Linked DNA regions of Arabidopsis thaliana. The protein of the gene in region 1 interacts with the protein of each later gene in a pairwise test. Each region holds a gene or a part of one and is shown in the gene's direction. Other genes may lie near its edges. The genes, in order: PEN3, AT1G14340 and MLO15.

The links.
Region 2: the proteins of PEN3 (region 1) and AT1G14340 interact in a two-hybrid assay, tested with the Arabidopsis thaliana proteins (one large-scale study listed by BioGRID).
Region 3: the proteins of PEN3 (region 1) and MLO15 interact in a protein complementation assay, tested with the Arabidopsis thaliana proteins (one large-scale study listed by BioGRID).

The regions. Positions count from the first base shown.
Region 1 is NC_003074.8:18,577,455-18,589,448, reverse strand, and holds PEN3 (PTEN 3), read left to right. Parts: upstream 1-4,635; 5' UTR 4,636-5,037; intron 5,038-5,459; 5' UTR 5,460-5,519; coding exon 5,520-6,095; intron 6,096-6,338; coding exon 6,339-6,440; intron 6,441-6,534; coding exon 6,535-6,591; intron 6,592-6,771; coding exon 6,772-6,837; intron 6,838-6,978; coding exon 6,979-7,155; intron 7,156-7,250; coding exon 7,251-7,337; intron 7,338-7,422; coding exon 7,423-7,487; intron 7,488-7,576; coding exon 7,577-7,653; intron 7,654-7,729; coding exon 7,730-7,776; intron 7,777-7,878; coding exon 7,879-8,009; intron 8,010-8,084; coding exon 8,085-8,154; intron 8,155-8,228; coding exon 8,229-8,672; 3' UTR 8,673-8,840; downstream 8,841-11,994. Other genes in the region: AT3G50130 (transmembrane protein, putative (DUF247)), read left to right, coding at 1-338; AT3G50123 (uncharacterized protein), read right to left, coding at 1,332-1,475; AT3G50120 (transmembrane protein, putative (DUF247)), read left to right, coding at 2,203-2,843, 2,926-3,455, 3,868-4,292; SDN1 (small RNA degrading nuclease 1), read right to left, coding at 8,855-8,950, 9,037-9,138, 9,223-9,330, 9,402-9,533, 9,630-9,730, 9,817-9,886, 9,973-10,089, 10,186-10,329 and 4 more. UniProt on the Arabidopsis thaliana protein: Protein tyrosine phosphatase that also exhibits a weak lipid phosphatase activity towards PtdIns(3)P.
Region 2 is NC_003070.9:4,893,019-4,902,202, forward strand, and holds AT1G14340 (RNA-binding (RRM/RBD/RNP motifs) family protein), read left to right. Parts: upstream 1-4,327; 5' UTR 4,328-4,432; intron 4,433-4,676; 5' UTR 4,677-4,690; coding exon 4,691-4,809; intron 4,810-4,900; coding exon 4,901-4,976; intron 4,977-5,061; coding exon 5,062-5,175; intron 5,176-5,332; coding exon 5,333-5,758; 3' UTR 5,759-6,017; downstream 6,018-9,184. Other genes in the region: AT1G14345 (NAD(P)-linked oxidoreductase superfamily protein), read left to right, coding at 6,158-6,748.
Region 3 is NC_003071.7:18,241,720-18,252,689, reverse strand, and holds MLO15 (Seven transmembrane MLO family protein), read left to right. Parts: upstream 1-4,230; 5' UTR 4,231-4,373; coding exon 4,374-4,490; intron 4,491-4,597; coding exon 4,598-4,655; intron 4,656-4,743; coding exon 4,744-4,964; intron 4,965-5,089; coding exon 5,090-5,206; intron 5,207-5,385; coding exon 5,386-5,446; coding exon of another isoform or gene 5,447-5,451; intron 5,452-5,544; coding exon 5,545-5,639; intron 5,640-5,743; coding exon 5,744-5,818; intron 5,819-5,910; coding exon 5,911-5,999; intron 6,000-6,079; coding exon 6,080-6,129; intron 6,130-6,232; coding exon 6,233-6,273; intron 6,274-6,356; coding exon 6,357-6,566; intron 6,567-6,664; coding exon 6,665-6,732; intron 6,733-6,808; coding exon 6,809-6,869; intron 6,870-6,970; coding exon 6,971-7,201; 3' UTR 7,202-7,333; downstream 7,334-10,970. Other genes in the region: AT2G44120 (Ribosomal protein L30/L7 family protein), read left to right, coding at 2,273-2,461, 2,565-2,662, 2,746-2,803, 2,979-3,058, 3,145-3,463; GDI1 (guanosine nucleotide diphosphate dissociation inhibitor 1), read right to left, coding at 7,826-7,879, 7,971-8,045, 8,128-8,338, 8,584-8,708, 8,881-8,982, 9,100-9,162, 9,263-9,343, 9,453-9,564 and 5 more.

The DNA.
Region 1 (11,994 bases):
TGGATAATCTAATAGATTCGTCGGAAGATGTTAGGTATTTGCATTATTGTGGTATCATCGAACATTGGTTAGGGAATGATTATGAAGTTGCGGATTTGTTCAACCGGTTATGTCAAGAAGTGGCTTTCGACCCCCAAAATAGTTATTTGTCACAATTGTCGAATAAAGTTGATCGGAATTATAGCCGAAAGTGGAATGTTCTGAAGGCGATCTTAAAACACAAGTACTTCAATAATCCTTGGGCATACTTCTCTTTTTTTGCTGCTCTTGTCCTGCTAGTTCTCACGTTATTTCAGAGTTTCTTTACTGCTTATCCTTATTTTAACCCACCTTCTTGATTTTCATTATTATTCAGTAGTTTCCTTCATTAAACTTGGAATGTTTGTAACTTTTTTTCGAGCATTTTTGTTTATTTTATTTTCTATTGTATTGCAAAAATAAAATCAGAAACTAAAATTAAAATTTTCCAGCATTTTTATTTAATCTTATTTTTGATTGTTCACATGTCTTGAATCTGATCATGACAAGGTGTCTGTGGTAGCATGAAAGTATCGCTGTGACTCGGTAGGTCTAGGGGGGACGATGCCATATATATATTAACAGTTAGCTTCATAGGAGGTGAGACACTGAGACAGGTCAGAACAAATATAGATTACGTCGATAAAACGATATCGTCCCAAGAGACATTTTTGCCGTCGTCACAACCAAACTAGTTTACCATCGATGCTTAAACTTGTAATTGCATTTCTACACTAGTTTAGCACTATATGGTTACCAAATAGTTATATTAAGTTGTACACCTCTTTAAAATTTCTTTTGATTCACCAGTACGTCTCCAGCCAATGATGTGGTATGTTCAGATTTGAATATGTTATCGGAAATTAAGACTACAACAATGTTCCAAAACATTAATGAGAATGACCATTGTCTATTGACGGATATTCCAAAGTTTGACTCACTTTCCAAGATGACGAAAAATCTCCATAACACTCGATGTATTAAGACTAAAGAGTCTAGATAGTCAATTTCACTTTTGTCGAATGTACTACAGTAATTTAAATAAAATCATATAAAGGTTTGATTGGGTGCAATCAAAGAAAGAAAAACAAGAGGAATAAAACAGTAAAAAATGGGAAGTGATCACTAGAGGAAATATTTTCCACATTTCTAACCTAAAGAAAAAGTTTCTTCTCATTTCACTTTTGTGTTTTGGGTTTTCCATGGAATAAGAAGGAAACATTTTTTTACCTTTTTCTTACAGTTGATAAAATTAATGTGAAAACCTTTTCTACTATTCTCTTTTACATCATAGATTAGTCTTCGGCCACACCCTAGAGTTTGGCTAATGAAAATAAGCACAAAAAAAACTGTGACCCGTCAACCAATATAGATTCAAAGTTTGTTGAGCAATCATCATCCATACGAGAAATGGTGAGGTCGTGCCATGTTCCACACACTAGCTGTGTAGTGTACATGTTCCGTTATGCTCTCACTATATTTTTATTTTCTATTTTTCTTATTAATAATTGTTGCTCGAGATATAAGAAAAATACCATAATGCACCAAATACCCCATAGAATATCAATAACAACGATGAAATGTGAATTTCAAGATGTGACACAAAGAGCAAAAAGGAAAAAAGGGAGAAGAAAAAAACCACTAAAGAAGAGATTTTATTTTGTGCTTTTATCGTTTAAAATTGCCCAAATTCGACAAGACAAATAATCTTATCTTGTCCAACGACTCTCATATTCCCCATACGAGCGTTTCTAGTATGGTTGCGCAATGACCTTACCCTTCTTTGATGCGTTAAGGATTCGTACTCAAACCAAAACGAAAGGGTATATCAAAATTCTATTATCTATGGATAATGGTCGGATATATGGTAAATTATAGAACACAAATGCATATTTTCTATTCTATGTTACCCTTTTAAGCCGCACGATTCCAAATTAATTTGTATATTTTAGTAGTTAAAATAATTAGGTAAGATATATAAACTTTTAGTTGTTACTTTTTTCTTCAAAGATATTAATATGTGTGTGTGTGTGTTTATAAATATCTAATTATGGTTGTTGTCATTACAGATCAGTTGGGTCCATAAGTACAATAAGTAACCAATTATATCTTCAAATCATTCACATATACTTCCTTCTCTCTCACTCCCTCATTTTCTTAAAAAAGCTTCAAGCAACAAAAAAAATGGTGGCTGTCTTCTACAAAGACATGTTGAGCTGGTACTTACTCACCCTTAAGATCCGCGAAAAACTCGAAACACAAAACCAAGAATCCGTATTGGTTAATCAAGATCAAAACCTCCCCGGTTTACCCGAAATCACCAGATCCGATCAAGATCAAAACATTCATAACAACCAGCAAACTCAATCCGATCCCGCTATCTACGTAATCAAAGAGAGTCCAAAAGATTCACGAGACGATTGGGTGATCTCGATCACAGACAAGCTCGAACAAGCACATAGAGATGATGACACAACACTCTGGGGTAAGCTCTGTATCTACAGAGTTCCATATTACCTTCAAGAAAACGACAACAAATCGTATTTCCCTCAGACAGTCTCGCTTGGTCCGTACCATCATGGTAAGAAACGGCTCCGGTCTATGGACCGTCACAAATGGCGTGCTGTCAATAGAGTCTTGAAACGTACGAACCAAGGCATTAAAATGTATATCGACGCCATGAGAGAGCTAGAGGAAAAGGCTCGAGCTTGTTACGAAGGTCCCTTAAGTTTGAGTAGTAACGAATTTATCGAAATGCTAGTTCTTGATGGTTGTTTTGTGCTTGAGCTCTTTAGAGGAGCCGTTGAAGGATTCACTGAACTCGGGTAAGCCTGATTTTTTCAATATCTGGTTATTTCCGGTTCTCTCAAATAATTGTTAAACCGGTCACAATAATGTTTTGTGTAGATATGCACGTAACGATCCAGTTTTCGCGATGAGAGGATCGATGCATTCGATTCAACGTGACATGGTAATGCTTGAAAATCAACTTCCTTTATTTGTTCTAAACCGGTTATTAGAGTTACAGCTTGGTACACGGAACCAAACCGGTTTGGTGGCACAATTAGCAATTCGGTTCTTTGATCCACTAATGCCAACGGACGAGCCGTTGACTAAATCTGGCCAGTCAAAACTCGAGAACTCACTGGCAAGAGATAAATCCTTTGACCCATTCGCTGATATGGGTGAACTGCATTGTCTAGATGTTTTCCGTCGTAGTTTGTTACGGTCTAGTCCTAAACCGGAGCCGAGGTTAACAAGAAAGAGATGGTCTCGAAACACGCGTGTGGCGGACAAGCGCCGGCAACAATTGATACATTGTGTGACGGAACTAAAAGAGGCTGGTATAAAATTCAGAAGAAGGAAAACCGACCGGTTTTGGGATATGCAATTCAAAAACGGTTATCTAGAAATACCGAGGCTACTTATCCATGACGGTACGTTCACGTTTTTCACATTTTTCTTCTTTTTAACACATGCCCCATATGTTTACAATTTATTTTTCTTTTGTTTGAGTAAAATGTTACAGTTTTTTTTTCTTATCCATCACCTTTTTAATTCATCAAATCCATATAAATTGATATTTTCTCGTTTGTATTGGTTTATATGGATTGACAAAGAATATATTAGTAGGAATCATGATGTATTGATGTGGTATGTTGCATAAAAATGCTACTTTGGAATATAAGAAATGTCATCAATTGACTAATTCAGAATGATCTAAGCAATGGAAAAGAGTATGTGTTTTCAGATTGGCAAAAAGTTTAGATAATGAAACAAATACATTTTCTCAACAAAACAACTAAATGTTTATAATAAGTAAAGCCATCCTCGTATGTTTTTTTGTAGGTACCAAATCTCTTTTTCTGAATCTTATAGCTTTTGAGCAGTGTCATATCGATTCGAGCAATGATATAACATCCTACATAATCTTCATGGACAATCTAATAGATTCTCACGAAGATGTTAGCTACTTACACTACTGTGGTATCATCGAACATTGGCTAGGGAGCGATTCTGAAGTCGCGGATTTGTTCAACCGTTTATGTCAAGAAGTTGTATTCGACACCGAAGATAGCTATTTATCTAGGTTATCGATTGAGGTTAATCGTTACTACGATCATAAGTGGAATGCTTGGAGGGCTACGTTGAAACATAAGTACTTCAATAATCCATGGGCAATTGTTTCTTTCTGTGCTGCGGTTATTCTACTAGTCCTCACTTTCTCTCAAAGTTTTTACGCTGTTTACGCTTATTATAAGCCACCTTCTTAACCTTATAACTTGTTTTTCAAAGCATTTTTTTGTGTGTTATATTATACATATGTACTAGATTTTAACTTGTGGTATACCGCGGGACGATTTATTTTTAAAAGTAATATATATTAAAACTTGTAAATTTTATTAAAATAATAAATTAAAGATTTAATCCATATTGAAATTAAATTAAATTAATTAAAATTTAGATATCAAATCTTATATGTTGATTTTGATTGGCTATTATTTTTGAAAATTAATAATGTATTTCGTTTTTTAATTAATTTAATTAATTAAATTAGTATTTGACTTTTTAATCCTTAAATACATAAATTAATTTACTCTTTAAAATTTTATTTCTAATGGCATCCCTATGTAATTACTTACAAAAATTAAGATTACATTTAAAATGTATTTCCCAAATTATATAGTAGGATATGTAGATCGTTTGTGATTACATTGACACGTCACGCACTTACGCCCACTGGATTACCAAAACTGGGCCTTTTCGATATCTATAAGGCCCAGACCAACTAGGATTCAACATAATGTGACCATATAGGCCCAATGAACGAAACACAAAATTCTGACCGGCAAGAGCGGGGGATGATAAAACGGGAATTGATCGTTAATCTCCGCACGTTCATCGGAAATTTCGTACGCTGCTGCTCTGAATCAGAATCAGCTCCAATCTTCTTCCTCCTCCATTGAATCTCTTTTCGCTACGGAAAAAAACTCGAAGCTTATCGTCCTGCATTCTCCGGTAATCAATGTCTACTCTCTCGTTTTTTTTCTTTTTCTTTCGCGGCCGATGCTTTGTCGAATTTGGAAGCCTTGTTTCATTTTTGATCTGCCTCTGCTAGATGATGCACTTGATTTTCTGATTTGAGAGATCTAGTTCCATTGAATTTGGCGTTGAGAGAGATGTGGAAATGAATGCGACCTTTGGATTATAGCAATGTGCACTAGTACGGTCTTAGATTCCTTATCCTCCGAAGCAATTTTGCGTATTCAGTGCTATTTTCAGATGATTATAGAAGCGAATTTAGCCAAAACCTTTAGCTGGATATTGCTTATGTATAATGTGGGAATTTGGAGTCGTTTCTGTATATTCTGCTAAGTGTTTGATTAAATGAGAAACTGGACTCAATACTCAAACGTGAAATTGACTTTTTTTTTTTTTAGGTTTTCGTTTTCTCGTAAAGTAAGGCTCATCGTTGTCTGAGCTAGCGTTGGATTGCTAAAATGGAAACTGATCCTGCTAACTCTTCATCGAAGTCTCCAGCTGTAGTATCTGAGAAAGATGTATTGATTCCTGAACCTTCTGAAAATACTGTGGGCGTTGTACAAGATCCTGTGAGCGCTGAAAGAGAAGCTCATGAAGACTCTATTAGTACAGAAGCTTCTGTTGCAAAGGTTGATGATACTCAAATGCCTGCTAGTTCTACCGGCTCTGAACCTTTAAGTAAAACAGATGATATAGTTCCATGCCCACCAGGTTCCTCCCCACGCGAATCACCGCCGTCTATATTTTCTTCTTCTGGTCTTTCTTCTTGGGCCAAAAGTTTTAAATTCCAGCAGCAAGATCCAAATCGTACAGATTCTGGGATGTCAGCTTTCACAAGATTCACCTCTGAACTTGGTCTGCATTTGCCAACGAAAGGGTCTGAGGAGGTTGGTGATTCTAGATCATCAAACACACAAGTTGGTGGTGCTTTTGAGTCCCTCACAAAAGCTGTGGTTGATTCATCTCGTGGTGCCGTTAAAGCAATGCAGGTGAAAGCACGCCACATTGTCTCTCAGAACAAAAGAAGATACCAGGTATGGTAATGCTGTCTTTCTGCTTTTGTTAGATTCTTTGAAACTGAGGCACCTTATAGTCACAACAGCTTGTTGCAGCACACTACCCTATTGTAGTGAATGGGCCAAAACTAGCAGTTGTTTATTTTTATGAGCTTTCCCTGCTGTCTAGTGTAATGCATCGATTAGATTATAGTATATATGTATGCCCTGATCAGTACCACTTACATCTCTGCTTTACATGGCACCTGGTGCAATCTTCAGGAGGGGGAATTCGATTTGGACATGACATATATAACTGAGAATATAATCGCAATGGGGTTCCCAGCTGGTGACATAAGCTCTGGTCTTTTCGGATTTTTCGAGGTAAATAGCTTGGTCTGGTTTGAAATATAAGTTCCCCAGCCAGTTCTTTTCTTCTCTTAGTCTTGAGTTTCTCATTGACAAATGTCATATTCAGGGACTATATCGTAATCACATGGAAGAGGTGATAAAGTTTTTTGAAACTCATCATAAGGTAACCATTGGCACTGACTGGAAGCCTCTTAAAGAGTTTTTGACAACTCACTAATTCTCATAAGATTCACACCAGTTGGATTTGATAAGACACTGCAGCCCAGACATGTAGTGGTTACTTGGTTTATGTTTGATCATATTGGTACATACCAGAACTCTAAACCTTGCCCCCGATATGCAGGATAAATATAAGGTCTACAACCTTTGTTCAGAGAGATTGTACGATGCTTCAAGATTTGAGGGGAAGGTATATACAAACTCTAGCACTTGATATCTCAGACCATATATCTTGCAGGCAGTTTCTGTGGTTGTCATTGTTTTTAAAGCTAGTGTTTATAGACCTCTTACAGTGTTTGCTTCATCGCTTGTCTGATTTCCTTTTCTTCAGGTTGCATCTTTCCCATTTGATGATCATAATTGTCCTCCTATCCAATTGATACCATCGTTTTGTCAAAGTGCATACACATGGCTGAAGGAAGATATCCAAAATGTAGTGGTAGTTCATTGTAAAGCTGGAATGGCAAGAACCGGATTAATGATTTGCTGTCTTCTTCTATATCTCAAGGTGACACTTCTTAAATGAAACAAAGTCTTGGCTGATGCACGCATTCCTCCTCTGTAAGACTCTTGTGACAGATCTTACTGGTAACTCCATTGCAGTTCTTTCCTACAGCTGAAGAGGCTATTGATTACTATAACCAAAAGAGATGTCTTGATGGGAAAGCTCTTGTTCTCCCAAGTCAGATTGTAAGTTCTGAGCTCACACCAATCTTTTAATGTGCTTATTCGATTCTCCCTCATCCTATTAAACAAGCTTTCCTGTTTCCTTCAGCGATATGTCAAGTACTACGAACGTGTTCAAAACCAATTTGACGGGAAAGTTCCACCCGAGCGAAGGTATGCTTTAGACATATCTGACCAATCAGGTAGTACGATTTGTGGTTGATATTCATATATCCCTAACCAGAGAATAAACATTTATGTAGATGCATGCTCAGAGGATTTCGCCTAATCAACTGCCCTTACTGGATTAGACCTGCCATTACGATCTCCAACCACACTGGTACAAAGCTAGTTTCTTCTCATCTTTTGAATATTCGCATACGTTTGAAAAATGCTCATTTTCTTCTATTGAACAGATATACTTTTCTCAACAAAGAAACATCAGAAAACCAAGGATTTGGGGGTAGGCATTGTTCTCCTTGGTTCTTCTCTCTCTCTCTCTCTTTCATCTGGTGTTATAACCGCAACTCGTCTTGACGTATAAACTTGTGTTTGTGGGTTATAGCCTGAAGATTTTTGGATAAAGGCACCCAAAAAGGGAGTGGTTGTCTTTGCAATACCTGGTGAAGCTGGTCTAACAGAATTAGCCGGCGACTTCAAAATCCACTTTCAAGATAGCGATGGAGATTTCTACTGGTAAACTCTCTTCTTCCTTCACAGACATCTTCCAAATCGACAAATTCACTAACTTTTACTGTTTTCTGCACGCAGTTGGCTAAATACTACACTGACTGATAACAGAACAATGCTGAAAGGCAGTGACTTTGATGGCTTTGACAAGGTAAAAGAAATTTTCATAGCCTTATAAGATCTAAGAAACAAACCTGGTTGCTTCATCCCTGGCGGTTTTTGCAGAGAAAACTGCCTGCACCGGGTTTCCATGTCGAGATCGTAATGATAGAACCCGACAATTCACAACCAACAAAGTCCAAATCTGATTCCACCCAACAACAATCTCAAAGCAGCTCCAGTGCTGATTCCAGCAAACTTAAGTCTAATGAGAAAGACGACGATGTATTCTCTGACAGTGATGGGGAAGAGGAAGGAAACTCTCAGTCTTATTCAACTAACGAGAAAACCGCAAGCTCAATGCACACAACTAGTAAACCTCATCAGATCAATGAGCCACCAAAGAGAGATGACCCTTCCGCAAACAGAAGTGTCACAAGTTCATCGTCCTCGGGTCATTATAATCCAATACCAAACAACTCATTAGCAGTTAGTGATATCAAAGCTATTGCTGCAGATGCATCGGTCTTCTCCTTTGGAGATGAGGAAGAAGACTATGAAAGCGACTGATCATGAAGACTCAGATTTTATCACACTTATCATACACACACAAGTATATTGTCTCTGTTTCCCATTATAAAAGAAACAATTGCAAATTATAAAAAAAAAAACTAGTCATTGAATTTTGCCATTGATTGTTCAAATATCTGAAAAAACAATTCATTGAATAGTTAATCTAATCCTAGGTTGCATCATTCATCTTGAACCATTTTACGGACATATATACTAGCTCTTGATCCTGAACTCAGCTTAATGATGACCACTTTTTGTGGCAAACCCAATGAATCCTAAAAAAAAAAACATAACACACAAACTTATTTCACTATCGATCAAGATAGTTGCGGATCCAAAAGCAGAGATACTAAAATTATACCGTCATTTCGATTCCATCAATGTGTTCAAATGCTTGATCTGCGTCTTCTGAACTATGGAAAAGAGCAAATGCACAATAGTAACGTCCCTGTGTTTTTGCTTGCTGCCAAAAGAAAAATAGCTGAGGTCAGAGAAAGGTTCTATGTTCGAGAGACTTAGAGAAAGTACATGGTTTTGATTTCTCAACCTTCACATCAAGTGTAAACTTTCCAGAAAGAACTTGCTCAAGCTCTTCAGATGGCACATTGTTAGGGATTTTATGTAGAAAGAGTTTTGCTTTCTCAACCTCCAACATCTATGGTAAAAATGCAGACATTTGTTATTGTTGGAATTTATGATAAAACTGCATGTTTGGTAATTTCAAACCTCTTTAGATGGTTTGATTGTTGTGTCAACTCTTTTCTCTACAACAGCAAGTGCAAGTTTCATCGCAGCTGATGCGTCATGTACACAATCATGAGGAACACCGGTCTTTCGGACTTCGTAACCCAAAATAGACTGGGAAAACCATTTCAACAAATGAAAAAAAGTATTGAAAATGTTATCTTTTTGTGATGTTCATCTCAAGAGTAGAGAAACACGTAATAGACTTACCTTGCAAAGGTTGTTAAGTGAAGGTCTTCTGAGCTTTCGTGTATTCGGATACTTGAATACAAGTGCGGTATCGATTACTTTAGGATGATCTATCTTTAACACTGGCATCAAAATATGAAAATAACCATAAACTTGTTAGCGAAAAACTTACAATTACAAAATCCTCTACTGGAAACTTTATGCTTACCTTCCAAATCTCTGTTTAAACTGTGACCAACCAAAATCGTACCCGTAGAAAGAAAGGGCTGCAAAGTTTCCTGCACATTTTTCACAAAGTTAACAACATAACAACTATACGTTTCTGCTGTGAAGATAAAACCAATAGAAAGACTCTACATGGTACCTGTATATCTACCACAGAGAGACTAGCATTTTCGATATCTTCAGCAGTAATCCCTGTAATGTCTGTCCTATAGTCAACAACAGGTTTGTTCGGTTTCACAAACTCGTCAAGAATCACCTAAAGCCATTCAACATTTGATAACCCTCGTCAAGAAAGCAGGTCCATTGCGAAAAGACGAATCACTAAAGCATAAAGATTCTCTCTAAGCTATACCTTTAAATCACGGTCTACAACACCAACTCTAACTAAACCCTCAGTCCCATCTTCACAAAGAACCATCTCACAATCAACAGCTACCATGTTAGTTGATTCCATCACCTTTTTCATCTTCATTCCAACATCGGATACAAACCAGTCCTGCTTAAGCAATTCAACAACTCTTAAACAACCGCATAAAACACGTAACAAGAACTCATTGTTTAGGAGAAGGAAACAAAACCTCTGAGTATGGCTTGAAAGAATAGTCTAACGAGTAACTCGGATGCTCAACTGTCAATCTAACTAGCATCTGTATTGCCAAACAACAACATCTTAAACCTCACTGCAAACATATTCCTATCAAAGAACGAGATATAACAAAAGCATCTCCCACCTGCTCAGGAGTGTCTTCATCTTGGGATTCTTGCTTCAAATTTTCAATCAGAAGATGATTGGCGTGACATTTCAGAAGCTTAGCAGCAAAAAAGAACAAAACTTTAGTGGCCAAAGATTACAATCACATTGTGTATTTCTTCAGTTTCACTTACTTGCAAATCTTCTTTCTTCTTAAAAGTTGTCAGAAACTGAACCAAATCTTCATGAGAACGCCTCGAAGGATCACTTGGTGAATCAGCATTTTTGTCGTAAACATGTAAAAATTCCTTCCAGTTTCCATTTTCGCCACGCAAATCTCGACTCTGCAATAGCTTCACCAACTCGTCAAGCACCTATTTTAACGGAATGGTTAGTTACAGAGAAGCTAATTCGACTCCACAAAAGTGGGAATTTTGCCCTGAGAAATTAAAGAAAGAAAGAAAGAAAGAAAGAGACGAACTTGTTTCTCGGCGGTGGCTAGTTTAAGCTCCATAGTACGGAAACAATGGCGGCTCAACGAGTTTTTCTATTTTATTTTATTAGCTGGGAGTGAATTTGGCATAAACTGTTTGGGGAAGAAGAAACAGAGTTTAGGGTTATATTCTCAAAATATATAATTAACTGGATTATATTTTATTCTTAGGGGTTTTTTTATATATAATTTTAACTATATTGTATGCTTAAATTGTGACATCTTTGACTTCAATGTAGTAACATCTTTACCATTATTTTAAGAGGAATTATTTAAAATTTGCTTAGAACATCTCTCCCATTTCTTCATAAACATTTTTTATTTTCAATATGGAGTTATGGAGTTGAGTTTTTTCCCAACAAACTGGAGATTTCAAATTTTAGTGTAAATTTGAAAAAAGAAATCTCCAAATATGAAGAAAAAATATTAAGATCTCTAAGTTAGAAAGGGAGATGGATTGGAGCGAATAAAAATGTAGTGGAAATAGAAATTTAATTTTAGTCATATTGTTGTATTAAACCTGATCTGAGGTTCCATCGTCATTTTTTTCTTTCGCTAAATTGTAAATATTTTATAGATAATTAAAACAGTTTAGGTTACAAACATAGAATTTGAAAATATAGATCCATGGAAAAAAAAGAGGTTACATCATCATCGTAAACCATTTTATGGACTTAAAAATAAACTTCATAACTTAGACGCCAAAAGACAATGTGTTTCTGTGACAGCCCAAATGAATCCTGCAGAAAAGCAAAACATAACGCAACAACTTCTTATAGCATAGTTGACTCTGTTTGCTACCTCTATTGAGAGAACCTTTATTGACTCTGTTTCAATTACATTTAAATGATGATGTTCACAAAGATTTTTTTTATTCGATTTGTGTTCTAATACTGTAATTGTGTATATTTTGCCAATGATTTGTATCAAAAACAAATGTCAAACAAAATACCAAAAATTAAGGATAGAAAAAAAAA
Region 2 (9,184 bases), on another chromosome or scaffold:
ATTTCCACGAAATATTATTTAGGAATATATAGTAGTACTTTTTCATTGGAATATAATTATACTTTTTCTGTTCTTCGAACATAACATTTCAGTTAAAAACTGTACTGGAAAGAAGAGGATGTATGTTTATCTGAATAAGCTGAACAGATAAATTAGGAAAACGAGAAAGCTGTCGACAAAGTGATCTAGAGGTTCACGGAGCACGTGTTGACGCACGTGGGAGTATATCTTTGCACATTAAATCATGAAATTAGTGTATTAATACCATTGTTATTACTAGTAGTTTATTACCGAGATTAATGCATTACTTATTTGTTGTCCGTTGACCAGAACTGATATGGTGGGTGGGCTCTTTTATCTCATCGGAAAAAATATTATTCGTCCGTTCTCTTGGACGTGTTGGTTTATCATAATTTTTATTCATCTACAAGTGTTTTATCGTTTAGCTGATGGCCTTTTTCAAAGCATGAGATAAATCTAAATGTAACAAATACTAAAAGATTAGTAAGACACTTATTATTATTATGGATAAAGGTCTTGATCGTACCATATGTTATCTTTACATATTTCACGCATTGATTAGAATTTTGATAAATCATCGAAGCTTAAGTCGCGCCGAAAGATTTTAGCGTGCAACTAAAGGATTATTATATTGCGAGTTGCATCTTGGCAGCTGTAATCCACTCATTAATTGCCACGTGTGAAGGCCATCTTTAAACATTATTTGGACGGTAGAAAAGAGCTTTATCAGTCGTTAGAATTTGTGAGTAATCTAATCAAATCATTTGCATATCTATCTTTCTAAACTGTGTTTTTTCTCTTATTTTGTTATATCTATCTTTTTATTTAGTTTTTGCTTTATCTTCTTAAGGCGAGATGTATGGTATCGTTAACAGTTAACACGGTATTTTGACTATTATCCAAGCTCGTGAAACCTTTTCATAAGTAATTCAAGGTGCAATGAAAATGAAAAAAAAAAAAAAATCGTTGAAGTTGACATCGTATAGAAGAGGTCTAAGATCCATATTTTATGTACTACTTTATAAATAAATTACAAATTTAATCTTTGAGACATTGTGGTGTTAATAATAACCATTTTGTATTTACTGAATTTCGATAATGTTTGTGACGTATTGTTCTATCAAAGTTTCCAAGTTTGATAAGATTTTTGGAGTCAAAGGTCAATAACTATGAATTTAAAATTCCGTTACCTTTCAACGATATTTATCTAATACTATCTCAGCAGAAATGCAGTTACCCTTAATTAATAAAAATATATATATATTCTACAGAGCTGTTTGTATTTTCATATGGTAAAGTTTCATTATCTTTTCGTTTTCAATGAATATTGGTTTTGACTTTTGACCACAAAAACAAAATGAATATTGGTTGGAGAAAGGTTAAATATAAATTTATTTATTTTTGCTTTCGAATTTTCTTCTAAAATTATCGAATAGGTGACTGTTTTTTTTTGGCGTATCTTATTAGTGACTTGTGTCTGAAAGTGAAGTCCTAAGAGCTGTCCACGTGATCTGTTTGTATTGTGTGTTCACATTCCTTTTCTTTCCACATTAATCTCTCTTATATTAAGTGTCTTAATTGATGACTACATTCCTAATTTATATATGTGAAAGTGTTATTAAGAATCTGAGTATTGTGTTACATAAGAATGGGTATAAGATTGCTAAAGAGAATCCCCAAAATTTTGTTTGTATTTATTTTCGAGTAGTTGATATACCTTCTCATGTGAGTTACATTACTTTACGAGCCATTATCCGACGCGTGAAAGCCCAGGCTACATCTGTATTCACAACTGAGGAAAAAGACAAAATTGCCAACAAAAGTATTAGGTTGAAAATTGATCATTACAAGTTGCAAGTTGCAGCACATTACAATATTTTCTTCTCATTACAAAAAATATCGAAAAAGATTTTTTGTGTGTGTATTTGAATAGCTGTTATACCAGCTAATTGTTTTGAATTATCCGTCGTAAGGAGATAACGTGGTGGCTCCTAATACCTTTACTTCTTCTTTTCTTCTCTTTTGGCAATGCCTTGTCATTCAAGTCAACGTCGAATTTCAACACGTGCTCTTCGTAAACTCAAGATTACATAGATTTGAATGTAACTAACTTATCACATCTTATATCTAGTCTTCTAAATTTTGCTGTCTATGGATAATATAACATAATATATGGTATATAAACAACACATTATGATAAATATCTTAAATACATTCACTTTAATGGGATCGTATGAAAACATTTTGTGTTTCTTTTGGTCATAATTGCAAGTTGAAGTATTGGTTAATGCTGACCATCAGGCAAATACGAAGAGTAAACAATACATGATTAACATCTAAGAATTGTTTGTTCTGGTTTCGGCCGTTTTAGTTTTCGGTGGATATGGAAAAATGTGTAGAACAAAAAGGTTCAGAACTCCAGAATTCTACCACACAAAAGAAATTGTTTCAGGTTTGACGCTTATAATTTATGATTTGTGGAACAATGACAAAGATTATCATCGACTAATCTTAGAAGACACTTATTAAGAATCACATATGAAAAAAGCTTACTAGATACAAATAATATAATAACAATAAACAAACTCTATTAACAATAGAGGAAAATTGGGAGATATCAACTTGGAATGTGATATTTGAATCGACTAATCGAGTCAATTAAAGACAAAGAAAATTATGATTTAAGAAAAACAGGTGAGTTTGATAAAACACGTTGTAGTCTTGTTGTAGATCTCCGAATTGACGTCAACTCAATATCAAAATCTTTCACTATGAAATTCAAAATCCGAATCAAAACGTCTAACCTAGCTATAGAATATATACATTAGTCAATGGTCAACCTTTTATATTTTATTGTTATAATCATATATGGTGAAGATAATTGTATTTGGAGGACCAATATTCAACTATTTCCTGTAATTTAGAACATTTATTTTTTTCTTAAATATATGTTTTTTGCTTATATATAGTCGCAATTTTTAGAAGTTCCATAATCCATATACTTGAACTTCTAAAGCTATAGTCGCAAGCACCTTATTGTTGTTGTTTAATAAAAGTTCTAATTTTGGTAGACAAGTGAAAAAACAAAATTAAACTATCTGGTGTTTACATATATGAAAAATATACATTTCCAGCAGTGAATTTTGGTTTTGCATGAAAAATACATAAATAGCAATTCACTGCAGCAGGGGTCAGAATATAGAAACATGAACCACACACATAAAAAAAAAGTAGATTCTGACTAGATCAATCTGAATTAAAAACTAGTAAATTTTGACAGACGGACGTGGCCGTGGAAAGAAGTAGAAAGAGACAATGAGAGATGGAGAAAGAGAGACGTAAGTATTGATTTGGCCAACGGCTCATATGCAAAGAATATTAATAATAATAATGTTCTTTGCGTTTTTTTACCAATTACATCAAACATTTGTTAGGCACACGTCTTTTCTTTTTCTCCTTTTTAGTTAAGGGCATCTCCATCCATGAAAAACCCACAAAGTTTCTCAAACAAAAAAAAATTAATATTATATTATAATTTGATTTTTTGATTAAAAAAATATTTTTATTAAAAAGTTGAATCAATAATTAAAAGGGAATTATCATGATGGATTGTAGAGAATATCTCAGAGTTTCTCAAGTAAGAAACTTTCTACTCTCTCTCCTTCATTTTTATTATTTTTATTTTTTAATTGTGAGAAACTCTTATAAAAAACCCCCAATGAAAATGGTCTAACTTTCTTTTCCGTTGAATTTCTCTCATGTATTAACAGTAACATAAGTATTTATATCACATACACTTGTCAAATTTGTCTCTTTAGAGATTTTAAAAAGTTATCACTTAGAGAACTTTTACCTGTTTGGACTTTGGACGGTTAGACAGATAATATCTAAAATTACTCCAATTTTTATATATACATGCAATACTAAGGTATAAAAAAGGTTCTAGAATGTTAAAATCGTTGCTGAAAAAAAACAAAATCGTCTATAGATTGTTAATTTTTGCTTCTTGTACAAACACTTAGTAATGATTAATGATTTAATTTTAATATGTAAAGACTGATTTTTAAAATAAAAAATAGCATAAGATGAAAATTTATGTTTCAAAAAATATTTGTGATTATGGGTTGTTTGAGACTGGAAAATAATCAAACAACATTGGGCCTTTCATGTAGAATTTTTTATTACATTTAGAACCGTTAACGATATGGGCTAACTCAAGACATTAAAGGCCCAACATTGAGTTACTAAACGGCGCAGTTTTTAGCTTTTTAAAATTGCGTCTTTTTCGTTCACTGAAAAGGTAGTCCTTCTCTTTCCCACTCACATCATCAACTTCATCAATTCATCACCTTTGTCTCTCTTTCAAGCTTCTCTGTGTGTGATCTCCGTTGGTCAACAACAACTACAACAGGTAACTTCTATTCTTCGATTCCTTAAATTTCTTCTCTAGAGCTTAGTGAATCAACGATTTAGGTCTGAACATATTTGGCAATCTGTCCTTGCTCAAATTTCGCTTGAAAATTTCAATCCCAAATCATGTAAAGCTAAATCGGAAAGTTCTATGTAGTTCCCAAAGTTGAATCACGAACTGGAAGTAATTTAATTTATTGACTTAGGATATGTTGAAATTTTTAGGTTTTTTGTTTTGTTTTTAGCTTATTGAGCAGAGATGGATCATCAATTTGGATATGGTGTTGAAGTTACTGGGTTATCTCCATCTGTTACTCATAATGATCTTATCGATTTCTTCTCTTTCTCTGGTACTATCCAAGATATTGATATTGTCAGGTGAGTCTTTTTACTTTTTAGCAAGTTTGTTGTTTGTTTGCTTATTCTGGATTCAAAAGAGTACACTTTGTAATGTTGTTAATGAGACTAGGTCGGGTGAGCAAGCTTGTACTGCTTATGTGATGTTTAAGGATTCTTATTCTCAAGAAACTGCTGTTTTACTCACTGTAAGTGTTAGTTTGGATTTGATTCACTCTTTCTATCTTTTTTGGATGTCTCTTGAGAAATCACTCACTTCTTTGATATCTTCAGGGCGCAACGATATTGGATCAGCGTGTTTGTATAACTCGTTGGGGACAACATCACGAAGAGTTCGATTTCTGGAATGCGACTTCGCGAGGTTTTGAAGATGAATCGGACTCACAAGTATGTATCGCTTTTGACACTTCTCTCAACTTTGATCTTTCTGTCTTCTTTTTTTGTTAAAATAGTTAAATCTAACGGTCACTGGTTCAGTAGTCTTTATGTTGAAGTTTGATGCTTGGTCTCAATTCTAAAGCTTATTCGTTCTTCAATCATGTAGCATTATGCTCAACGAAGCGAGTTCAACGCTGGAGAAGCAGTGACAAAAGCTCAAGAAGTGGTGAAAATAATGCTTGCCACAGGATTCGTGCTAGGCAAAGACGCTTTAAGCAAAGCTAAAGCCTTTGATGAATCCCACGGCGTATCAGCTGCAGCGGTGGCTAGAGTATCTCAACTAGAACAGAGGATTGGTCTTACTGACAAAATCTTTACCGGACTTGAAGCTGTTAGAATGACTGACCAAAGGTATCATGTTTCAGATACAGCTAAATCAGCTGTCTTTGCCACAGGAAGAACCGCGGCAGCAGCTGCAACTAGTGTTGTCAATAGCAGTTACTTCTCCAGCGGAGCTCTTTGGCTGTCTGGTGCATTAGAGAGAGCTGCTAAAGCCGCATCTGATCTCGGTACCCGCGGCTCAAGGCAGTGAATAGACCAATGGCCCGATTCAGAACCGTATTCGTCTGTGAATATATATGATGCAAAGCTGATCATGAATAACTGGCTCATGAAGTGTGATAAGACCAAATTTTATCAAAACGAATACCATATAGAAATCTATCAAAGTATACTCTCACATGATGATGCTGATATAGAGTTTGGTTACATTACCTACATCTTAACTCTTCATTAGTAGCATAATCTTTTTTCTTATATAATTTCTGATTTATATCATTCTATGGTTGATATTGATTCAATATTTGGATAGATGTTGTATCCATAGAGCTTAGGCCACGTGGCACAATTTGCGCCAAAAAATCAAATCCAAAAAACAGAGAAGTCATCATCTTTTCACTCCAAATCTTCCAGTCACTCAAATCATTCTCTCATGGCAGCTTCTTCCTCAATTCCGCCGTCAACCGCCGTAACCTCCGTCGTTCGCAAATCTCTCCTCCTCTCAACCACCTTCTCCTTCCCCGCTTCTTCATTGTCTCCCTCCACGAAACTACCACAAAGACACATTCAAAGATTGCTCCTAGCTTCCTCCTCCGCATCCGCATCCACCGTTCCTTCCGATTCCAAACCGGCGAAGAAAGAAACAGTCTACTTCGACGGCGGAGCTCATTACGGAGATCTATTAGCCAATCTCATTCTAGGTCTAACCATCCTTTGGCTCCCACTAACCTTAGCTGCAGTGTCTCGAGCTTTTAACCTTCGTTACAGGTTCACTAACCTCCGCGTGACGGTTATTTCGGGACTCACCGGAGATGATCGGAGCGATTTCTCGTACAAAGTGATAAAAGACGTTCAAGTTGTGCCGAGGTTCATCGGAGAATGGGGAGATATCATCATTACTTTGAAAGATGGAACTAAAGTGGATTTGAGAAGTGTCCCTAAGTTCAGAGAGATTGCTAAGTACTGTTTATCTATGGCTGATCAACCTGCTGTTTTGAAAGAATCTGGTGCTAAAGGCTTTTGATTATTTCTCATTTCTGGGCAAAATTGATTCTTCTTGTTGTGATTTCTTCAGTACAAATCGAATCCTTTCCATGTTCTTTCATTTGTTATTGATTTCTTCATCTCTGTATTGTTAAGACGATCGTATCTAAACGGCGCGCGATTTTAGCTCTACAATAAGAAACGGCGTGATGTTTGGTTAATGTTGAAACGGCAGGTAGTCCTCTTTTAGATTAGAGAAATGGCATGGATATTAATACTATCTTCTTCTTTTTTATTCATATGGCTGCATTTTAAGAATATAGAGGATTAACAGCCCAAAGTTTGGATTAAAAAAAAAACAGCCCAAAGTTATTTATTAATTATTCAAGTTCAAAATAGCGTCAATTATCTTTAATTTATATACACGTTTATTTATTTCTACTTTTCTAATAACCAAGATTCATCATAAGCAAATTAATCTCTAAAAAGTAAAAACTATCAAGTTTATACAAATGGGCAAACGAAAATGTATAATTTGAATAATGTGCCCACATTAATTTCTATACTCGCATATGAAAATATGATTACGTTTTTTATGGGATAACGGATTCAAATACAAGAAATGGGATTACATATTCAATAGCTTCCTTTGTTAGTACTTTAATTCTAGTAGTTCAAAGACTAATTAATAAGAACTACATATGGTCCTATCTGTTAAATTTGACCATATTAATCTAATAATCTCCATTGGATTCCACTAAAATTTGTTAAAAAAATATTAGTAGAGAATTTCGTAAGAGAAGGTTGATGAGTATGTATAGGGAGTCTTATTAAAGCTTCTGCCTCTGACACATTCTCATCAAATCTTATGTAGTCTTCCCCATTTCCCAATTTTGACCATATTATTCTTGTTTTTATTCTTTGTTTATCATACCCCGTTGTCTTCTTTCATTGTTTATCCTATACGTTTTCTAATCACATATAGGGTGTGATATGGTGAAAGCAAAAAGATGTGGGAGTAAAATAAAAATAGATTTTGGCGTAATTATTTCTGTCCATTTTCTCTAATTGTTTTGTAGCGGAAAAAATTATAAAGTTTTCGACACTTTCAGCTCAAACCTTTTTTTTTCCTTTTTCTGTGAATCATAGGCGAATCTAGAGTAATATTTTATTTTACTCTAACAAATATAACCAATAACACCCATAGTTTTTATATCTCCACTCCAATGATGCACTATTTTTAGAGAAACATCCGAAATATGAATACATTATCTCCAAAATATAGTGTTAGAAGTTGGTTTCGCAATGTGAGTTCATAGAAGTTGCATATAAAGCATAAATATACACCGTAAAGATAGATGGCTCACTATCCACCAGCAACTTTCAATTAAAAAGGAACATTTTGCAGAATTCATATTTCTCTCTTTGTTCCCAAGCTTTATGTCACATTGTTTCACATGCATGGGCAGAATGGGCTGATTGGCACATATGTGCACTTACATGTCCGTGCGCTGTGCGCATCTGTAAAAGTTCATGTCTACATGGTAAACAAGTACGCGTATTGAATACGTACACATACATACCTCTAAAATGGCGTATTCACGAGAAATCCAAAATACAATATGGGATCAATATCCAATATCAGCTGAATTCTTCGGATAACTTAGAATCTATATATAAAGCAAAAACCTTATAATATACTATTAACTTTATCTCAAAAAGGAAAGTGGTTAATTCTGAATTTGGTCAGTCTTTTTAATTTTAAAATAAATAGAAAAAGGGCGGCGCATAGTAGAAGTTTTGTCAAATGTCAGGCTAACACGCATCCTTAAATTGTGCAAGAATGTCTTTCTTACACCCTCCCATTGTTTCCTCATATAACAGATAAACTGAAAAATTCTGCTGGTAGATCATTTTGAATAATTTCAGAAGGATAATCCATATATATGCTAACTTTAACAAAACAGTATATATATAAAGCAATGAAAAGAAATTAGAGTGATCATATCTAAAAGATAAGAAACCTTAGTATAAAGCCAAACTAAAAATAGAAAGGTTAGTGTATATAATATATACAAGGAAAATCTGATGATCAAGGGCACCTTAATCGAATGATAACGGAGGACTAACTAAAATTAAAATGGACATCGGATTCCTGAGACTATATAAGAGCTTTTCGTTGTAGCCTTGTAGGTATAGGAGGAAGTATTTTAAAAGAAGAAGTAAAGCTGGCTCCAATATGAGTGAGGCCCCATGCGATTGTAGGAATCCCAAGCAAGTTAACCTCTACTAAACGTTTATATTTTAAATGCCGGAAAAAATAAAAAATAGTAGTGCGTGTTTTCTGGATTAATTTGAGGTGTGTGTATATTTTGATCCAATTTTTTTTCTAAAAACTAACCTTTTTGTTGTTGTCTATATTACTCTATATGTTTCGGAACTGTCAATATACTGTATTTAAGATATAAAATGTTCG
Region 3 (10,970 bases), on another chromosome or scaffold:
TGTTTCTCCCTAATTTACTACAATTTAAAACAGGTATATTAATATGTATGATGGACATTTTCATTTCATATTGGCATGTGCACGCACTATCAAACAAATTCTTTCACGAATAGTCCATATGTATAGATTCTTTATGTTTTGCCAAAAAATTTGTGCTTAGTTGTTATAAGTTGTAAGATATCATCATGTGTTTTTAATTTTGTAATACGTATTATTTTACGTAGAAAATTGCGAGGGCAGTTTCGTTTGAATATAAGATTCATCAATAATATTATGATTGATTATAACTTTATAAAGGTTTCTACTTTATTATAGTCTTCTAGAAGAAGTTCTCATGGATATACATTGGCATTAACTATCCTTGGGTCTTACTCTTCGATTATTCAACATATTATATTAAAACGTTGACACGTCTATTCTGCGATGCACCGACGTAAAGGTATGTCTCGCGGACTTCCAGCCTCACACAAGTCATCTCGTCTCCACCGGATAATTAATGATGCTTTCTGTTGTTTTACTTTGGGGTTATTTATGAATCTACGCTTACTATTTGTGCCGTTATTTAAAACATGTTTCAAGGGAAGAAGATTAATTTGGGTGTTAGCGCACGATATGAACATAGATAGACAAGAAGAAAAATGAAAGTCGGGGATAAGAAGGAAAATAATAAGAATGGGGTCGAACATTAATAGGGGGCTGGTCCATTACACTCTATCCCATTTTCCCCACATTGTCTGTTCTTGTTTCGTCAATTGTCCTTTCTTTGATTACTCTCTACTTATGTATTTTCTCTCTATCAGCTTTTCTAGCTTTATTCATCACCAATTATTGTCGTGTGTCAAGAAAAAGTAACGTAGAGTTTCTTTGAATAGTAGTAGTAGTTTCGCATATAAACGAGTACTTTCGATTCATTTTCATTCCTAAATGGTAATATTGGCTATCAATAGGTCGCGTTAGTCAAAGAAACAATGGATACATCTTTTGAAACTTTTTGCTCGACAAGAAAAAAGCAACTATAATGTCATTTAGTTTTGTTTTATTTCCCTTAAATGGATTATGGATCAATGGATGATGTAGTACTGTTAACAGATTCTATTGATGAATTTCACGACTATCGCAAGACGAATTTGAAATCATCACGAAACTGAAGTTGTTGTTTTTTTTTTCTTTTCAACGAAGGTTGATTGATTTACGACTACGATGAAGTGGATTGGTTTCTAATTAATTATTCCTGAAAATGAAACCAAAGATATAATACAACTATTACTAAATGAAAAGAAGAAAAATAGAGATAAGGGTTCTAGAAGATAGGCATTGATATTTGTTTTCCCTTTTGGGGAGTTTGTCATCTTTATGGGGGAGGAAACAAGTGGGCCGAAACTGGCAAGCACTTATCCTCTTGGCTTTAGTCTTCTTCTTTACGGTTACTAAAGTTTTTCTCTTTCTTTTCTTCTAGAAGACCATATTGACATTTTTTTTTGTATCTCTAGAGTAATAGCACTAAATATAAACCTAACTTTTGATGTTAGTCTAAGACAATAAGACATACGAAGCTTTAAAACTCTATTGTTTTGAATGATCACAATGTCACATATCAATACTTATATTCGATCTAGAAGATTTGGAAGAGTATAGATTTAATTTGTTGGTTTATGAAAAGAAAAACAGTATTGGTGGAAGAAAGTATTCAGAAGGGCAAAATCGATGACATGTAGATGTAGATGGACAAGGCCTGAGTATGTATATGTCATTTAAAACCAAGCCCAATTTAAGTTAAATAAATAGGCCCACTTTGGAAAAATGACTGCTGACTAAAAAATTAGGGTTACGAAATAAACCCTAAACCCAGTTTCGACTTTGTTTGTTTTGTCCTCCTTCTACGCCGCACACTATCTCTTCCTCTCTCTCAGACGAGATTTCCTCTTCATCTCAAGTAAGCTTCTCTCTTTGATCTTCTTCGTTTAGTTTAGTTTTTAATCGTAAGTTTTCTTTTGATTCATTATAATTTGTTTGTTCTGATGTTTGTGAGATCGATAAACCCAGTTGTTCTAGTTCTATTGTAGAGAAATTCACTTTGATTTTAGATTTAGAATCGTTGCATTGAGTTTTCCGATCTTCTATAATTGCTCCTTTTCATTTTGCTGTTTGGTTTTAAACATTGTCGTTGATGTTCCTGCCTTGCTTCTCTGTGATTAACAATCTGTTCAATTTCTCAAAGGTGTCTTTTTTATTTGATTAGTATAGCTTATTTTTGGTTTGTTTATGGCATGCTATGTATGTAGGAGAAATGGCTGAATCCAAGGTAGTGGTTCCAGAGTCTGTGCTAAAGAAGATCAAGAGGCAAGAGGAATGGGCATTGGCCAAGAAAGATGAAGCTGTAGCTGCTAAGAAGAAGAGTGTTGAGGCCCGCAAGCTTATCTTCAAGAGAGCTGAGCAGTATGCCAAAGAATACGCTGAGAAGGTAATAAAGCAACACTCTTTTGTTCATCTTTGCTGACTAAGATGACTGTTCTGTTCATGGTTGTTGTAATGAATCATGATATATTATTTGCATGCTTGTTTAGGATAACGAGTTGATCCGATTGAAGCGGGAGGCTAAGTTGAAAGGAGGTTTCTACGTTGACCCTGAGGCTAAGTTGCTCTTTATCATTCGTATCCGTGGGTATGTGCCTATTATTTGTGTGTTACATAAGTTGTTGCATATAGATTCTGTTTTTTATTTACGTGATTGTTTGTCATTTGCAGTATCAATGCCATTGACCCAAAAACCAAGAAGATTCTGCAGCTCCTGCGTTTGAGACAGGTAGGTTTCACAGTTTGTTATTTTCATCCAGCTATATTAGCCTAACATATGATTATTGATTAATATTTGTTATATGTTCAAACTAATATGTGATAGTTGCCTGTTCATCATTTTTAAAAGAGAGTAGAAGACTATTGCGTTGTCAAGAAGTTTACTTTCGTATACATTTGTGCAGATCTTCAATGGTGTGTTTCTTAAGGTGAACAAGGCAACAGTAAACATGCTGCGCCGAGTTGAACCATACGTGACTTACGGGTATGCAATCTGATTCTCTCTCTTTCAATAGGATTATGTAAACTAAACTATATGCTGCTCTAAACCGAATGATATATCTGGTGCAGATACCCAAACTTGAAGAGCGTTAAGGAACTGATCTACAAAAGAGGTTATGGAAAGCTGAACCACCAGAGGATAGCACTTACTGACAACTCCATTGTGGATCAGGCTCTCGGAAAGCATGGGATCATCTGCGTTGAGGATCTCATCCACGAGATCATGACTGTTGGACCTCACTTCAAGGAAGCCAACAACTTCCTGTGGCCATTCCAATTGAAGGCACCACTCGGTGGCCTTAAGAAGAAGAGAAACCACTACGTCGAAGGTGGTGATGCTGGAAACAGGGAGAATTTCATCAACGAGCTTGTCAGGAGAATGAATTGATGAAAGCTTCCTTCTTTATCTTTGCAAATTTCAAAGATTTTGGGACCGAGTTTTTTTTTTTTTGTTCAAGTTATCAGAGACTTGTGATCTTTTATCCGAGATAGGCTTTTTATGACTAATCATGTTATTTTCCAATGGCGGGCTTTTAAATTGATCTTGAATTTTTATTGGCTGTTAGATTGTTCCTTCGAAGCCCACCAATCCATTAGAAATATCTGGTTTTGACCGGTTGATTAAATAATTCCGGTCGAGCTGTATCAAAGATAGAATGCTCTTAACCGGAATCGTTGACTTCAAGAGTACAAGCTGTTCTCCATTTTTTTAAAGAGATTATATCGGTTGTGCGAAATTGTCCAAATTTTGTTTTTATAGATTGACCGATCAAATATTGTAGCGGTTAATTCGTTAAAATAAAACGTTTGATCAGTTACATTTGATTAATTCAATATCAAGTCAAAATTTTATCTTGTTAAAGGAAAAAGAAAAAATATTGGGTTTAGACCTTTGACAAAGGAAAAAAATGGGGACTTAAAGAGTCTAATTAGACCTCAATTAACAACTCTTGGTGGCTCTATAACATTAGTAATTTCTATTTAGGTTGTACATTGTAACTATCCAAAACTCTAAATAAAGAAAATTACAAAACATAGAGGGGACAAACACACACTGACACCGCATACATTACACATTATATAATGTGCATGAATACAACCTACACTTTCTAGTAAAGAAATGAAAATGAATATAACCTACAAATTTTAATATTTAAAGACACGTTCTAAAGAATAAGATCGCCGGTTTAAAACAATTACCTGGTCATCATTTTGGATTAAACTCATTAGGCATTCATTATATAATTGCACCAAACAAGAAGGGGATCAAGAAAATCACGAATCACCGGAGCAAAAAAATGGCGGGAGGAGGAACGACCTTAGAGTACACACCAACTTGGGTGGTTGCTCTCGTCTGCTCCGTCATTGTCTCTATCTCTTTTGCCGTCGAGCGTCTCATTCACCGTGCCGGAAAGGTTATATATTACATATTGGCTCCTTGTGTTTATTTTATATGTATGCATAATTCATTTAGACGTTGTAGACTAAATGACTATTATGGATCTATGCATGAGGAATATAGCACTTTAAGAACAACGATCAGAAGCAGCTTTTTGGGGCATTACAAAAGATCAAAGAAGGTGACTTCATGTTTTTGTTGATAAAAAAAAAGATCCATCATGTGATGATATCATTTGTTCTAATAGGATTCTTAAAATTTGGAAACAGAACTCATGCTAGTAGGGTTCATATCGTTGCTATTATCGGTCGGCCAGTCTAAAATCGCAAAGATTTGCATATCAAAGGAGTTAAGTGAAAAGTTTCTCCCTTGTACGAAACCTGCAGGGGCTGAGAAGTCCCTTAAAGACTCCTCCCATTTCCAGTTCAGCTTCACCGGCCGTCATCTCCTCGCCGGAGATGCCCCCGCCGGTGACTACTGCTCCCTAAAGGTATTCTTATCTTTGCAAATCTTTTTTTGACTTACACGTTTTATTTGAAGACGTGCGTAGAATTAACATAAATTTGTCTATAATATGATATCTTTTTTGAATCTTTTTGTTTGTTTTAAATTCAGGGAAAAGTACCAATAATGTCATTATCAGCTCTGCACGAGCTTCATATATTCATCTTCGTATTAGCTGTTGCCCACATTATTTTCTGCCTCTTAACCATTGTTTTTGGTACCATGAAGGTATTTTCTTAATTACACCTTACTTAACAATAAATCTTTTTTTTAATCTTTATTAGTTACGAGATATCACGAACAAATATAAGCTAGTGATAATCCTAAACTCTAAAACCGGACAACTTCTATTCGCAGAATAAGTTTTTTATTGTGTCTAATGATTATAACAAAATGTTATGGCATAGATAAAGCAATGGAAAAAATGGGAGGATAAGGTTTTAGAGAAGGACTTCGACACAGACCAAAGTATAGTACAAAATCTTGTTTCAGGATCTTGAGAACTTTTCATTAATTATAGTCATTTGTAACGTTAACAAGTCTTATATATACACATATCTACACAGTGATCCAGAAGAAATTCACACACGTTCAAGAACACGAATTCATCAGGTCACGATTTCTTGGGGTTGGAAAAGCTGATGCTTCCTTGGGATGGGTGGTGAGTGTTTTTGTTTTCTCACAACTTATCTTACTTGTAATTAAAGACATGTTTGTATGTGTATATGCAAGTTTTTGAGTGATATGTGTTCTTTTCCTTTGCAGCAATCGTTTATGAAACAGTTTCTTGCGTCAGTCAATGAATCAGATTACATCACAATGAGGCTAGGCTTTGTCACGGTATATATCTTGGATTTTTGATTCGTCCTTTGCTTTGTGTTTATCTCTACTATAATGTCTAAAAACAACTTTTTCTATTTGATCTTTATAAGACTCATTGCAAGACCAACCCAAAATTCAATTTCCATAAGTATTTAATGCGTGCCCTTAATTCTGATTTCAAGAAAGTCGTCGGTATCAGGTAAATAATTTATAGTTTTTCCAAAAACCAATGCAACATAGTGTTCTTGATTCTATTCTAATGTATATATCAAATTGCAGTTGGTACCTTTGGGTATTTGTGGTTCTCTTCTTGCTTCTAAACATTGTTGGTGAGATACTGAGATGACATCTTTTAACTTTGATCCAATACAAAGTTTTCTTCTCTTCTTTCTTTTTTCGGTTGAATGATCATCGACTCGATATTTCTTGCAGCATGGCATGTTTACTTCTGGCTAGCTTTTATTCCTTTGATCGTAAGTCCCTGAAAACCTTCTCAAAGCATGTCTATGCTTCAAACCTATCTAAATCAACTCTTTTTACGCGGTTTTCTCCTCAGCTTTTACTTGCCGTGGGGACGAAGTTAGAGCATATCATCACAGATTTGGCTCATGAAGTTGCAGAGAAACACATTGCTGTGGAAGGAGATTTGGTTGTCCGACCATCAGATGATTTGTTCTGGTTTCAAAGTCCCCGGCTAGTTCTCTTCTTGATCCATTTCATTCTTTTCCAAAACTCCTTCGAAATCGCCTACTTCTTCTTTATCCTTGTAAGTACTCTTTACCATTAATCGATCTAAACCAATAATCTAGAAGATATCAAGATACGTACAGAGAAAAGTGAAAACTCATGCAATTGTAACAACAGTTTCAATTTGGTTGGGATTCATGCATCATGGATCATGTCAAGTTCGTAATTCCAAGACTCGTCATCGGGTAATAATAGCCAAAGCTACTTAATATCGATCTTGTTATGAGCTTCTTGATCTTGAAATGTGAAATATTTTTGCAGGGTAATAATTCAGCTTCTCTGCAGTTACAGTACCTTACCGCTCTATGCACTCGTAACTCAGGTACAGATTCTACATCTCTTAGTCAATTTTCTTGTGTTCTTATATCAAACTAGACCAAGACACAAACTCAAAACCAAACCTTCTAATTTTTTGGTGAAAAGATGGGAAGTTCATTCAAAGGTGCAATATTCAACGAGCAGACACAGGAACATCTTGTTGGATGGGCAAAAATGGCTAAAAGGGGAGTGAAGAAAGGCGCAACACAAGTAGGTACCAGTCATGATGCTACTAGTCCAAGACCGTCTATTCAGTTGAACTCCTTGCTAGGAAAAGGCTCCTCTCAACAAAATCAGAACCCCAAGGAAAAATCAGAGATTGCTCACCATGATTAACAAACAAAAACTTGTTCTGACATTTTTTTTGTTGTTGTGATTTTTGATTTTTTGAACTTGTTCGACTTTGTTTGGTATATATAACTGATTGAAAGGCGTTGTAACAAATAAACACAGCAAAGATGCTGAATCTGTCTGCCAGTTTGATCAAACAAGATATGTGATTTCTACAGAGCCGTTTATAATGCTCAATTTTGTGTTCGTTTATATGATTTTAAACTGACATGTGAAGAAAAACAATCTATGTCGGTTTGAAGAACAAAATAATGGTTTGTGTGTATTACCAGTCATTTAATATGCTTAGTTTAGTTTTGCTATGCATTTACTATTCAACTTGTTAAGCAACGACTCTCTACGAAACGATTGAGACGATAATTGTTCAAACGGAAGAGCATGATGATATATTAGACACTCCAAACAAAAACCACGAAATCCAACATTTTAGTTTTTTGAGAAGAAAAAAACAGACTGCGATAACCGGGAATAGGTACGCATGATGAGATCGGTTTGATTTAGTATTTTAACAGAACATTTGGTGAGACAACTTTTAAGAAGAGGGAGAAAGAGAACCGGTTACATCATTTGGTGACTAACAGAGAGAGACAGAGCTTGCAATATTTTCCATCATTCCTCCTCTGCAGCACTAGCTGCGTTAAGATCCACACTTAGATCCAGTTCCTGCAACACAAAACAATGATCACTCCCCAATTACAGAATATGTCGCCGTCAATTAATAAAAACCGATATATTTGTGATTCTAGAACATTACCTTTCCGGTGATCAATTTATACATGTTCAACACATCAACAACAGTTGTGTCAAAGTGTGTTGTAGCATCATAACTCTGTTCAGGACATGAACAAAAAAGGTTATTAGAAACCAGCCAACTTTAAGATGCTCACTAAAAAAGGGGTAGAGAAACTAACCGTTGATATGAAGCAGTTGTCCAAAGTGGGTTCGTTGACAGGCTCATATCTATCATAGATGTCGAAGAACAGCTCATCAACAGGACCAAGAAGGTCGATTCCAGGCTGGAGCTCGGTTTGAGGGTTATCAGTTTCAGCGTCTGTTGACACAAATGCTATGAACTTTCCCTTGGGAGCAACGTTGTGTGAATATGAACAACAGAAGACATACCTGTCAGTTACAATAAAGATGTAATCATGAGCCGAGAAACAAATATATCAATCGACTCAATGTTACACACTGCCAAGTTTTATAGAGTGTATGTGTTGTAATCAAGAAATAATATAGTTGAGAAGAGTGTGTAGCAAGGAAGGTATCTCAGCAAGCTCAAGAGAATAATTCAGACAAAGATTAGCTAACACATTATTCAAACACATTTACATAAGTGAAACCAAAGGATGAATAAGAGAACTCACATGTCTGATTTGCGGCCCAATTGTTTTTGGGGTAGAATGACTTGCACCGACTGAGAATCATTGGTGTTTGGAATAGGGTGGCTCATAATGGCAATCGCCCGAGCAACCCTGCCAATCTTCCTGACCTGTTTGAATTGGATTATAAAACATTTTAAAATAATGTTAACATACAGGCTCACATTGTTAAAATTGCCTAAAAGGCTCACATTCATAACAACAGACCATAAAACAGAGATGAGAGATATATGCATGCAACAAAGCTAATGTTACTGTAGGATATCCGGTCACAGCCATTACCTTGTTGGTTAGGTAAGAAGGATCGCAGACAACTTTCTTGCATTTGGCAGTCTCTCCCTCAGATGTAACACCAGAAACCTTACCCTCCTCGTCAAACTCTACCTGTTATAAAAGCAATATTAGGTTATCAGATCTAGCATCCATATAGTTAACGACAGAAAAAGTTGCAGAAACGACCGAAACAAAAAAGCCACAAAGATAAGGAAGTCAAAGACGCACCTTGCACTCAGGTTTGTTCAACATATACGTCCCACCATAGACAGCACTAAGTCGTGCAAATGCCTGAGCCAAGGAAGATAAGAGAGAATTTAGAAACTATAGTCCAAAACGCCAGAATAGTTGCACCAACCAAATAAAGCAATGTACAAAAGAAGAAAAAAACCTGAGGCAATTCTCCCAACCCATAGAGAGGATAGATATATGGTGAACCTCCTTGAAAACGTGCAAGGGACTCTGCGTAGAGCTGATAAAACATTTAAAGCAACAGAGTCAAACATGAAATACTGAGAGCAAAAAAGAAGACTTCGAAAACAAGGGGATCCACACTTTAAAGTCCCATGAGAGCAATTCACCTTCATTCTCATTACAGTATCATAGGCAGGTTGATGGAGATGATTGTCATTACAGTGAAGTGCCACTGCATGACCAATAAAGTCAATAGTATCTTCTTTAAGACCGAATTTCCTGCCAAAGTGTTAAATTGATAGTTAGCAGCAGATAGTCTAAAACAAATATTGACAACACCATAATGCAAAAGACAAGAGAACATCAGCTTACGCAATCAAATCCTTAGTTGTAACTCTCCTCAAATCCATTCCATCATGTGTTTTTGGGTCCTTCTCGTCGTATTCTTGAACATAGCTGAAAAACTTTCCAGCTCGACGTTTCTCAAAAATACCCATAAGAGGAGATTTGAGGGCCTCCATGGGAGTTGCTGGCACTTTTTGGACCTGTAGCATATAAACAGTTAATATAACTAGAAAAAAATTACTTAAGCTGCAAAGCTAGAATGATCAGTGAAAAGCTTTTGACCAAGATCAAACATGGGAGAAAAAAAGATGCACAAACAGACTTGAAATCTATGGAAAAAAAAGAGAATGAGGCACAAGATAAAAATGAAAATGAGTAATCAATGTACCTTGCCTTGGACAAAAACATAGCTTCCATCAACAGCTTTAAAAGACAAGTACTTGGTCACATCCGTATGAATAAGGACACGAACAAGCTTTCCGTTAGCCATCATAAACTGGTGCGCCACATTGACAGAGAACAGTTAGTAATTCATATTGGTAACAAGGAAGCTAGATAAGCTGGAAAGTAGCTAATATTGATAACCTTTGGCATCATGTCAACATTGTAGTCTCTGCTAGAACCTAAATGAGCAGGAGCCTTCTCTTCTCCCCTGAACTTCTTCCACAGCTGTTTAAAACAAAGCAACATTCAATAACTCTCGCTGATTATAACTTACCACAAAAAGTCTTCATATATATTTAACAAAAATATTGACCTGATTGAGATTAAGAGAAGTTGACTCTCCACCGTAGTAGTCATTCCTGTCCATGTGAAGTACCTAATTGGAATATAGATGAAATTAGTAGACCATTAGATTACTTATAAAAAGAAGTAAACTTGGCGACAAAGTCAGCTAATCAATCACATAGAAGATATAGGAGTGGAGATGATGAAAATTTAGTCTTTTTACGCAATCTCAATAACTAACTAAATGCATTAAATTCAGATCATTGTCAAAATCGCGAAGCCAATTGATTCTCATGTTGAAGCTCACAAAGCAACCAGCTTTAAATCACACAATCGGAGATAATAATCTCAACTAGATCCGTTGTTCATCATGTAAGTAACGAATTAAGAGTATTGAAAATCTCCAGATCAAGCATGGATTCAAAAAGAGAGAGAGAGACCTTAAGACCATCGACGGAGAGAAGACCACTAAGGATGCACTCCTTGAGACCAGTACCCAGAACTATGACTTCGTACTCTTCATCCATAGTTGCTGATCCTCCAAAGAGAAGAAAGAAATGGACTTTTGATATGCGACCGTCGAGAGACTCGAGAGAGAGAGAGAGAGAATC